Xenopus tropicalis: one gene and its partners. The protein of the gene in region 3 interacts with the protein of the main gene of each other region in a pairwise test. Links are inferred from orthologs where the notes say so. Each region holds a gene or a part of one and is shown on either strand. Other genes may lie near its edges.

What was found.
Region 1: the proteins of exoc7 (region 3) and prpf19 interact in a two-hybrid assay, tested with the Homo sapiens proteins (2 studies listed by BioGRID and IntAct, with this or other methods). The link is inferred for Xenopus tropicalis from reciprocal best matches to the Homo sapiens genes EXOC7 and PRPF19.
Region 2: the proteins of exoc7 (region 3) and ift20 interact in binary tests that used the Homo sapiens proteins (3 or more experiments, as listed by UniProt). The two-hybrid records come from large-scale screens. The link is inferred for Xenopus tropicalis from reciprocal best matches to the Homo sapiens genes EXOC7 and IFT20.

The regions. Positions count from the first base shown.
Region 1 is NC_030683.2:60,615,599-60,619,250, forward strand, and holds part of prpf19 (pre-mRNA-processing factor 19), read right to left. Parts: intron 3,215-3,652; coding exon 3,139-3,214; intron 3,037-3,138; coding exon 2,927-3,036; intron 1-2,926. UniProt on the Homo sapiens protein: Ubiquitin-protein ligase which is a core component of several complexes mainly involved pre-mRNA splicing and DNA repair. Required for pre-mRNA splicing as component of the spliceosome.
Region 2 is NC_030678.2:47,412,770-47,416,978, reverse strand, and holds the start of ift20 (intraflagellar transport protein 20 homolog), read left to right. Parts: upstream 1-1,293; 5' UTR 1,294-1,572; intron 1,573-4,209. UniProt on the Homo sapiens protein: Part of intraflagellar transport (IFT) particles involved in ciliary process assembly. May play a role in the trafficking of ciliary membrane proteins from the Golgi complex to the cilium.
Region 3 is NC_030686.2:45,042,341-45,046,555, forward strand, and holds the start of exoc7 (exocyst complex component 7), read right to left. Parts: upstream 2,814-4,215; 5' UTR 2,759-2,813; coding exon 2,699-2,758; intron 1,352-2,698; coding exon 1,286-1,351; intron 981-1,285; coding exon 796-980; intron 645-795; coding exon 539-644; intron 372-538; coding exon 149-371; intron 1-148. UniProt on the Homo sapiens protein: Component of the exocyst complex involved in the docking of exocytic vesicles with fusion sites on the plasma membrane.

The DNA of each region.
Region 1 (3,652 bases), on a different chromosome or scaffold from region 3:
TATATATATATATATATATATATATATATATATATATATATATATATATATATATATATATATATATATATATATATATATATATACACACTAAGATATAAATAATCCTTATTGGATGGAAAATAATCCTATTGGGTTTAATTAATGGTTTATTGATTTTTTTAGTAGGCTTATGGTATGGAGACCTAAATTACGGAAAGACCCCTTATCCGGAATACCCTTGGTCCCGAGTATTCTGGATAACGGGTCCTATACCTGTATATATATATATATATATATATATATATATATATACCTATATATACCTATATATACCTATATATACCTATATATACCTATATATATATATATATATATATATATATACCTATATATATATATATATATATATATATATATATATATATATATATATATATATATATATATATATATATATATATATATATATAATCAGCTGTCTTATGGACAACCATAATTATGTAAAACGAAATTTTTAAAAAAAACTGTCCCATACAGCAAAATGTGTGTGAATAGTTAACTATGTACAAAATCTGTTAACTACAAAGGTAGCCTTACAGGTTCAAAATATGGATAAACACCAATAACATAATACACCCATGAATCACAGCTACAGATCAAGAAAAATATTAGGTCAGAGTAATAATATTATTGTTATTCTTTATATCAGTGCTGTCCAACTTCTGTGATACCGAGGGCCGGAATTTTTCCGACCTACGTGGTGGAGGGCCGATAATGGAAGCCAGTTTTGACCACTCCCCTTTTTGAAACCGCACCCACTTGAAACCATACCCATATTAATAGTTGTAGTACAGCAAAAACCTGCCATTCTCTGCCTTCCCTACTCTGCCTGTGTGTGCCATACTCTGCCTTCCCTACCCTGCCTGTGTGTGTGTGTGCCATACTCTGCCTGCCCTACCCTGCCTGAGTGTGCCATACTCTGCCTTCCCTACCCTGCCTGTGTGTGCCATACTCTGCCTGCCCTACCCTGCCTGAGTGCCTGTGTGTGCCATACTCTGCCTGCCCTACCCTGCCGGAGTGTGCCATACTCTGCCTTCCCTACCCTGCCTGCGTGTGCCATACTTTGACTGTGTGCGCCATTCTTGGCTGGTTTGTGCCATACTTGGCCTGTGTGTGCCATACTCTGCCTGCCCTACCCTGCCTGTGTGTGCCATACTCTGCCTGCCCTACCCTGCCTGTGTGTGCCATACTCTGCCTGCCCTATGCTGCCTGTGTGTGCCATACTCTGCCTGCCCTATGCTGCCTGTGTGTGCCATACTCTGCCTGTCCTATGCTGCCTGTGTGTGCCATACTCTGCTTGCCCTGGCACACACAGCCAGCATACAGTGACAATGCTGGCACTGCTCCTACAGTCTGTACAATAACTATATATTAAAAAACTTTTTAATTGCAGTACCACCTCAGTATATGTTCTTTTTGTAGTGTGCATGGGTTATTTGTGGGTTTCTACTGCTCCTACAGTCTTGTCTGAGGTGTGAACAGGGGAACAATGTGGGTGATTACAGTCTGAGCCTGAGGTGTGAACACTGCAGGGGGTGGACAATGCAGAGATTAAAAGGTGTGAACAACACAGGGGATTACATATTTAAACAATACAGCCTGATTACAGCCTGAATCTGAGGTGTGAGCAATGCAGGGGCCAGTTAATCACAGTACTGATACCATTTAAAGCTTACACAAGAGTAAGCCATCAAAGCAGCCAGACAGGTGGGGGGCCACACAGAGGGGGTTCGCGGGCCGCCAGTTGGACAGCACTGCTTTATATGATATATATTATTCATAAGCTAGTGATTTTCAAAGCCATCCAGAAAACAAACAAAATATGTAAGTAGACTGAATGCCTGTATTTGCTAACTAAGCCTAGAAACTCTACTCATTTGTGTAATTAAAAAAAGTTTTAAACCAATGACATCTCTTCAGAAAACTAATTTGACAAACCACTGAACAAAATCATCATCCCTCAATAAAAACATAAAGAATGTTAATTAAGTGGGTGGGGAGATTTAGGGACCTTTGAAGTGTTAACCAATCTGTCCCTGACAGCTTCAAATATTGAAAGGGATTCTGGTCATGAGTTTTATGGTGTATTTTTTATTTCTAAATTACACTGTTTACATAGCAAATAATTCACTCTACCATGTAAATAAATTATTTTTAAGCCAATAAATTGTTTTTTTAGTTATAATATTGATGTGTAGGTAGCCATCTCAGTGCAATGCTACACATTAGAACTGCTTTTAGATAACATAATGTTTCTCCTATTTCATGTAACTGGAGGAGGAGTCACAATGCAGACTTGGATTTTTTACCATGGAGTGCTACTCTGATTACTACAGGTGTCAACTAACTGCTATCTTGCTACCTGCCCATTGTTCTATCTGCTGCTGGGGGCAATATCACTCCAACAGTAAAGAGTGTCAAGTCACATGGCTGTGGCACCTCATGTAGAATTTGTTGGCATAATAAAATGGATATCAATGCAGGATTCTGCTGGAGAAGCTCTATTAATTGATGCGTTTTAGAAAAAAACAAAACAAATATGTATTGTCCCCAAAAGGAATGTTTTGTACCAGGCTGGACCTGAACTTATTAAAGTCTATTTTGCTCTAGTAGTTAAAGTGTTTTCTTCTTTTCCCCCAACAATGTGGATGTAGTTGTATAACCATGGACATTTTTATTGGGGGTCTGAATTAGGTGTTGGCAGAACAGTACATTTAGGACCACAAAGTAGACACACTAAATCAGGTACATTTTATTATAGTTAGCTCCAAAAAACTGCTGAAGCCACAGGAATGATTCAAGCTAAGTTGAACCTCTGGGACAAGTAAAGCAATCAATAGAAGGAAAGTTTCATGTATGTCTTAAATTTGCCAAAAATGCATACCTGAGATGGGTGGAAAACAACACTGGTAACTTTCTTGGTATGACCTTTAAGAGTAGCAAGGATCTGTTGCGATAGTGCATCAAACACAACAACACTTTTGTCTGCCCCACCTACAAGACAAAAAGAAAAAGAGCAAAAACAAGAATAAATATTGCTCTCTGTGTTTCCACTAAAGACATTAATGACAAGCAGAAAGTGGGTAAAATCCTTACCAGTAAGAGTTTTGTTTGTGTCAGTTGGACACAAATCCAATGCCAAAATACCAGGGACACTTGCACTGTGCAGACCCTAAATAGATACACAGTGGTAATTAGAGGCATTTTTTACAGAATAATACAAAATTGAGTTTGTATATGGCCTCATGTTAAAAGGGATTTCTTTACTTACCATAAAATCCTTTTCACTCTAGTCCTATGGGGGACACAGGAACCATGGGGTTAACCCTTTAAGTGCCAGCAGAATTTGACATTTCAGTTCCCCTCAGTGCCAGACGTTTTGTAAACTTTCTGTGCTCTCTCAATTTAGGGGCTTTTACTGGGGGCAGGGTTAAGTTTAGGTAGGCAAACTATATATAGTTTTTTTCAGGAGAACCTGAGCTTTCCTAATCTACCTGAGTTTTTGTGTATTTCCACTTCAGGAACAAGATTTAGAGCTTGAAATACAAAAAAAAAAAAAAGAAAAAATGCTATTTTTCATGATAGAAGGATTTCTACCAGAAACATGTTT
Region 2 (4,209 bases), on a different chromosome or scaffold from region 3:
TACTGTAATTCCCTTCCTGGCCAGGCCTCCCCATACTGCTACTGTAATTCCCTTCCTGGCCAGGCCTCCCCATTACTGTCTTACTGTAATTCCCTTCCTGGCCAGGCCTCCCCATACTGTTACTGTAATTCCCTTCCTGGCCAGGCCTCCCCATACTGTTACTGTAATTCCCTTCCTGGCCAGGCCTCCCCATACTGTTACTGTAATTCCCTTCCTGGCCAGGCCTCCCCATACTGTTACTGTAATTCCCTTCCTGGCCAGGCCTCCCCATTACTGTTACTGTAATTCCCTTCCTGGCCAGGCCTCCCCATACTGTTACTGTAATTCCCTTCCTGGCCAGGCCTCCCCATACTGCTACTGTAATTCCCTTCCTGGCCAGGGCCTCCCCATACTGCTACTGTAATTCCCTTCCTGGACCAGGCCTCCCCATACTGTTACCTGTAATTCCCTTCCTGGCCAGGCCTCCCCATACTGTTACTGTAATTCCCTTCCTGGCCAGGCCTCCCCATACTGTTACTGTAATTCCCTTCCTGGCCAGGCCTCCCCATACTGTTACTGTAATTCCCTTCCTGGCCAGGCCTCCCCATACTGCTACTGTAATTCCCTTCCTGGCCTCCCCATACTGTTACTGTAATTCCCTTCCTGGCCAGGCCTCCCCATACTGCTACACGCTAATGTGTCGGTCGGTACATGGCCCTGCATGTGAGCCATCCCTCTGTATCATGCTATGGGCGTGTGGCTGATAATAAGCCCCTGTGTGACAGCGCCCCCAGTGGGGCAGTTCCTACAAGCCGTACCTCCGTGCCGCATCCTCTGTCCCACACACACCTGCAGCTACACGGGTTACTACTAACAACACTACATACAGGGCGCTCCGCTTCACTCACTTCCCCACATCTTCCTCCATCTTTTCCACTAGCTGAGGTCACTTCCGCAACTTGTTGCCACAGAAACCGCCCGCACAATCATCTTGGGTCAAGTTAGGCACCGCCCAGCGCCAGGGCATGCTGGGAAATGTAGTAGCAAGCTATACTGACCTACGCCGCAGCTTTACGCATTTTAGGCAATAACAAACTAAACTCCCGGAAACCCATGGCGCTGTCCCTCGGCATTAGTTCCCTGGTCATCGCTTAAACCTCGCTAAAAAGAAGGAATTAATACTAGCGGACATATTTAGTTCTGGATTTACCGGTTAGAAAGTCGTGGGCTTTAACATGACCTTTTTTTATAACTGCAGACTTTTTACTCTCTAAAAATGTGTGTACGCCAGAACAACTATATCTTATGTGAACGCAGTCAGGCACCTGTGGTAATACACCTCCAGTATTAAATATGTTCTCAATTTGCATCATATCGCTTCCAACAGAGATTTAGTCACTTTCCGTGAGGACGATTCGAAGCTCAACTACACAATCAAGTTTCTGGAATAATGTTTTGCCAGTATGCAACATGGCGCCCACATACTCAGCTTCCGCTTTGTCACTATGGAATCTAGATTGTGTCCTAGGAAGTGACGTCTGTAAACAGCAGCGAGTTGTATCCGTGGCAGCTGAAGCCGAAGGGTACCGGGAGGTAAGAGCAGCTGGTGTGGGGCAGTAAATGTGACCGTTCCGGGGACTTTGGGGCTAATGGAATAAAAGGCGATAATTCTGATACTGAGCAAGTTACTCATAGCATCCAGTCTGCAGGTGGCATGTCGTTGTTACAAGCAAACATCTGGTTGCTATGGGTGACAAGCCCTTGGCAAAAATTCCCAAATTCATTGCGCTCCACAGAATTTTCAGCGTTAACAGGGCAGCTTTTGCTGATTGGCAGCTCCACCTTGTGGGACTGGGGTAGGAGACAGTCAGTCAGCAACAGATACAGCGGCATAGTAGCCTGGAACATTCCTACACTAGTATGTGTCTAATAAATAACACAATTATCTTCATTATCAGCTTTATGAGATGTACCTAGTGATTGTATTAGGCTGAGGCTGCTTACAGGGCTAGTGTAGGGCAGGCAGGACAGAGAGGGGCAGTTCTGGGGCACTATGGGGCAAACTGGCCTTTGTGCTCAGAAACCTGCAGCCACTGTGCATAAGGAAATCTCATCCTGTCTGTGCACTTAGTGCATCCATGGCAGGGGAATAAGGTAAGAGTAAGAGGCTTGATGCTATAGGGACACCCATATTTGTGTGAGCATGATGGGATCTCTCTGTTATCCTATTCAGGATAGCCACATAGTGTTCAGGGTCTGAAAGAGATCCATCATCTTTGTCCCTCATCACAAAACCGAAGGCAGCGTTTGTTAATGTTTGTATTTTTTTTTCATGATTCATATTTTCATGTTCTTTTGGTTTTTGTTTTGCATTTTAGTTCTTTCAACAAATGACTAGACACTTGGGGGCACATTTACTTACCCACGAACGGGCCGAATGCGTCCAATTGCGGTTTTTTCGTAATGATCGGTATTTGGCGATTTTTCGGAAAATTATCGCGACTTTTTCGTTGCCATTCCGAATGTTGCGCAAAATCTGGCGATTTTTTCAGAGCGTTAAAACTTAAGCGAAAAGTTGTGCCTTTTTCGTAGCCATTCCGAAAGTTGCGCAAAATGTTGTGATTTTTTCGTAGCGTTCGGATTCATTCAAGCTTCAGTATGGTGACTTTTCTTGGGCCAGGTTGGAGCTGCAGGGTGCCATTGAGTCCTATGGGAGGCTTCCAAAATCTTGCTAAGTCTGAAAGTTTCGCCCGCCGCTTACGAGCGTTCAATACGAAAAAGTCGCGACAAGATACGAGCGAATCTTAATGGCTACAAAAATTCGCGTTTTTCGCGCAAATCGTATTGGTAACGAAAAAGTCGCGACAATTTCCGAAAAGTCGTAAAGGCGCTGAAAAAGTCGCAAAATGTTCATTTTCCAATCTGAATTTTTCCAATTCGAATTCGTGTCTTAGTAAATCAGCCCCTTGGTTTTAGTGGAAATGAGTTTTTTCATGGTTTTTAGAAACCTCTAAAACCATGAATTTTAGAGTAATATAGTAAATTGCAAATGTGCCCCAGCATTTTGTGCCAGTGTGTGGTATTCCCTGTTACATCACACAATCATTACTAAGATGGGGGTTTTTCCATGCTCTGTACTGCTAAAGACATAGTAAAGCAGCCCTCTCAAATTTCTGAACAGACAATAAAAACATGTTTATTTGTACCACTTTTGTAATCAGCCCCTTTGACCTAGAAACATCAGATTTTGGGGCTAACTTTCTGTATAGATGCTTTATAGGCTCAGGTTAAAAGGCTGAAGTTCATTGATAGCAGCATCTCATGTGTAAAAGATGTATTACACTGATAGGTTCTTGAATTTGAAATAAATAAATAGATCTTCTTGATGAGTAAAGCCAAATAGATCTCTCATTTGATGCAGAATAATGGCTTGGGCAGCAGATGCCACTGTTTTTACTGAAATCTATAGATAAGGTGCTTTAATGTATGTGTTACTCCCACTCCTATCAATAAATATCCAGTTAATGAGAATGCCATAGTCCATAACATACTTACAGGTAATTTTCAGGTGGACTACCACTTTAAAGTAAAACGTAACCCCAAATGGCTTCTGTTAATTTCTCTTTTGGCAAAGAGCTACTCTGCAGCTTCCCATAGCCAACAGTTGTTTGTCACATAAATTGAACCCTTCCTCCCTCAATAAGTTACTTTCTAGGTGCTGTCACGACATGAGGATTTTTAAGAGATCTTAAGATGCCCATTTAGTCGCTTGATATATTTTAAGAATACTGTGGTGGGGGTATCTTTTAACATTTGACCAATAAGTCTGCTACCACAACTGTTGTTACTTCTCAGATGTAGAAGGCAACCGCAGGATCGTCATGTGAAAGAACCACAATAATAGCAGGAGTCAGAAGGATAGGTGGTTCTTAAGGGATTTGCCTGGCTGGTGTGAGAGAAGCTGGGGGAAATGAGCAGAATGGGCTGCTCTGATTTCTTGGTGTGGTTGATGACTGCGGGCACCATTCCCTTTATTTATTTATTGGTTTGTGGCAAATCCCTCTGGTGACATCACAGATGACTGGGTTGGGCGTGGTTATATAACTGAAAGCATCATGGCAGGTCCGAATCTGGGCCAGGAGAGAATAGGGTTGGGCACTGGTCTAATATTTGTCCACCTGCACATCACTACTTAGCTCCTTATAGCACATTGCTGAGTTGGCTTCTGTG
Region 3 (4,215 bases):
GGCTAAAAAGGTTGATCGCAGGTGGGGTTAAGAATGAGAAACAAATGAAGTGAGACAAAGGGAAGTGAATATGGACTTGTAGGTGTTGAGCAGTGAGAGATGTTGGAGGTTTTGGGTTTGCTGTTCTAAGAGTGACCCAACTTCTCACCCTGGTTCCTCCCGTACTCCACCAGCCATTTAGAGATGCGTATGACATCCTGCAGGATTCCCTCAGGTAGGTGTTCTAGAACAGCCTCCTCCTGGCCCTCCAGCTCCTCCTCTGTTCCAATCAGGTCTAGAATGAGGATGGGGGGCACCGGTTTGCTGTATCTCTGCAGGAGACTCCGGAACTCAGTATCCAAAGACTCCTTCCCCCTCTCGAACAGGGATTTCTACGAGAATACAGGCAAAAGAAAACCATGACATCCACACTAGTAAGCACCGTCCTTACTATAGAACCGGCAAAAAAATATTTTATGGTAAAGGCTGCAAGCTAAGCGGTGAAACATATAATGGTGAAACATATAATGGACCACTTCCAGGGTGTCAAAGAACTTACCACTCTGTTTAACTCAGGGCTGTCTGGGTTGTTGTCTTGAAAATATTCCACAGCCTTCTGGATTTTTGCAATGCAGCCCAGGTATTCCTCTAGCCTTCCCGAGGGTCTGAAAGAAAACACACATCTCTACCAGATACTGGCGGCTTTCAACTGCGTGCCTTACGCAGCAAAGGCATTATCCCTTGCACTATACAAACAAGTAGGTTGAAAGCCCTAGAACGAATATCCGTATTATTATGCAATTCAATACAAATTACCCTTCTTTGATGATGCGCTCAGTTTCCGTGGCAACATGGTAGTAGCTGATGACATGGTCCAAGCAGGACAGGGTACGATCGACATTTTCCTGCAGCCGCTGCAGGGTCTCTGTTTGTTTGTGCACGGGAATAATGGAATTCTCTAGTTTCATCAGCCGACTCTCAAAAGAAGACAGGATGGAGACCTGTGTAAGGGATAGAAAGAAAGAAATAGAGGCTTAGTGGGAAGTGTTTATGTCTTGAAGAGAAAGCCATAGGTCACACTGTGCCAATTGGTGATATAATGTAACCATTTTTCTGTTATGGATACCCCCACCTGTGGGCACTGTACTGTTCTATCAGCAGCCACATATCCGCTTACAATCACCCTGGCAGAAGCACTTACACTACTGCCCCACTGCCCCAGCACCATTCTTGTACAGGTGTTTCAATGCTAAATCAGCTTAGGGCACAGCGACACTCCCAGCACCATATTAATAGCTACACTCACCATATTGTTTGTCAGCTGATCGCTCTTCTCCAGGCTCTCCTTGATGAAGGCTAAGGTTTCCTCTTCCTACAACATGGAAGATAAAGGGAAATGTCTGTTGGAAGTGAGCTTTGGGACATGTATAAAACCCGCACATATCAAAGACAATTTTTTTTCTGTAACAGTTATACATTGTGTGAGTCCTTTATTTTTTTCAGTTATGTGCTCCTCCCTTTCTGTTTTCCATTTTCATTCTTTTTCTCATTTCCTCTTTACATCCATTCTCTCAGCAGCTTTTCATCACTATCAGTTCTGAATGAGTAGCAAATGTATTTATTTTTTTAAAGTTTTTATTTTGAAATTTTCAAACAAATATTTAAACAATTACAGAGTAAGAGAGAGAAGCTAGGAGAAAACTAAGGTGAGGCAAGTGCGTTTAGTGTACTTTGACAGAATCAAGTTTATATATAGTCAGACATTTTATATGTTTAACCAAGTGTCCCATATAGCGTCAAATTTTCCCAGGCAGCCTCGTGCTAGATAGGTAAGTGTATCATCTACTAATTTTCGCCAGTATTGTAGCAGGGGGATCAAGAGATTTCCATTGCATTAGCTTTGCCTTTTTAGCATCATATAACAATTGTAAATAGCACATCCTGGAGTCAGACCGGAGCTGTAGGGCTCCTGTTATTCCCAGTAAGCATAGTTTAGGGGAGCGAAAGAGCTAATTTCTCATTAATGTATTGAAGTACCTCGCTCCAGTGTCTTTGAATTACAGGCCAAGACTGATATATAGACAGATAGATAGAGTAAAAGACATGACATATAGGTAGTGAATAGGAGAAAGATAGAGTGAGTGAGTGAAAAATAGATGATAGAGTGAGAGAAAGACATTTAGCGTAAAAGACATGATAGATGATAGATAGATAGATAGATAGATACATAGATAGATACATGATAGATAGATAGAGTAAAAGACATGATAGATATATAGATAGTGAATAGGAGAAAGATAGAGTGAGTGAGTGAAAGATAGATGACAGAGTGAGATAGAGACATTTAGCGTATAAGACATGATAGATAGATAGATAGATAGATAGATAGATAGATAGATAGGTACATAGATACATACATAGATAGATGATAGATAGATAAATAGATAGATAGATAGATAGATACATAGATAGATGATAGATAGATAGATAAATAGATAGGTACATAGATACATACATAGATAGATGATAGATAGAAAGTTAGATGATAGATAGATAGATAGATAGATAGATAGATAGATAGATAGAGTAAAAGACATGATAGATATATAAATAGTGAATAGGAGAAAGATAGATGATAGAGTGAAAGACATTTATAGTAAAAGACAATATAGACAGACAGACACACATTAATGTGAGATTTAATAACAAAACAAAATACCTGCTTAAGCTTTTCCTCTATAGTCTTCTTCCTGGCGGAGCTATCCTCCGAGGGGATCATTTTTTCTTAAGAAATTATTTGCAGCTAATATCCAAATATTTTAGGTTCAACTCCTCCGCCCTTCCTTTCGGATTCTGACATCAGATGTCAACATGCTTCACTTCCGCCCGGAAACGCTTCTCTCGTTCAGCCAATGAGCGGCCGCCATATTGGAGCATTCAGAACGCGGCGCCATATTGGAGTTGGAAATCGGCGGACGGGGCGCCATGTTGGAGGTGGCAAATTAAGGCGCCATATTTGAGTCATGTTGAAGTTGTGCCGACTAACTGAGGTCGTGATTAAATGAGAGTATGACTTATGGGGGGGAGATTTCTAAGAACAACATGTATATTTAATAGACTGAATACTTTTATGACGCGGTATATAAGGCCGACATTTTAAAAGAAGACGCTTGGGAAAAGCTATAGCATATATGCTTTGTGAGGAAAATGGCCAATATATACGTTCATGTATAGTAAATGAGTAAATGAGACTCATGTTCAGTCATGAAAGACTCTTGGTGAGACAGTCTTTGAGATACAGGTTATCACTAATGCATTTTGTATGTAAAGGACTTCCATTCCTACATGCAAGTCAGCTGGGAGAGACAGGTCAGGCAAAGAGACAGGTCAGGCAAGGAGACAGGCAAAGAGACAGGTCAGGCAAGGAGACAGGTCAGGCAAGGAGACAGGTCAGGCAAAGAGACAGGTCAGGCAAGGAGACAGGTCAGGCAAAGAGACAGGTCAGGCAAGGAGACAGGTCAGGCAAAGAGACAGGTCAGGCAAGGAGACAGGTCAGGCAAAGAGACAGGTCAGGCAAGGAGACAGGTCAGGCAAGGAGACAGGCAAAGAGACAGGTCAGGCAAGGAGACAGGCAAAGAGACAGGTCAGGCAAGGAGACAGGTCAGGCAAAGAGACAGGTCAGGCAAAGAGACAGGTCAGGCAAGGAGACAGGTCAGGCAAAGAGACAGGTCAGGCAAGGAGACAGGTCAGGCAAAGAGACAGGTCAGGCAAAGAGACAGGTCAGGCAAGGAGACAGGTCAGGCAAAGAGACAGGTCAGGCAAAGAGACAGGTCAGGCAAGGAAACAGGTCAGGCAAAGAGACAGGTCAGGCAAAGAGACAGGTCAGGCAAGGAGACAGGTCAGGCAAAGAGACAGGTCAGGCAAGGAGACAGGTCAGGCAAAGAGACAGGTCAGGCAAGGAGACAGGTCAGGCAAGGAGACGAGACAGGTCAGGCAAGGAGACAGGTCAGGCAAGGAGACAGGCAAAGAGACAGGTCAGGCAAGGAGACAGGTCAGGCAAGGAGACAGGTCAGGCAAAGAGACAGGTCAGGCAAGGAGACAGGTCAGGCAAAGAGACAGGTCAGGCAAGGAAACAGGTCAGGCAAAGAGACAGGTCAGGCAAAGAGACAGGTCAGGCAAGGAGACAGGTCAGGCAAAGAGACAGGTCAGGCAAAGAGACAGGTCAGGCAAGGAGAC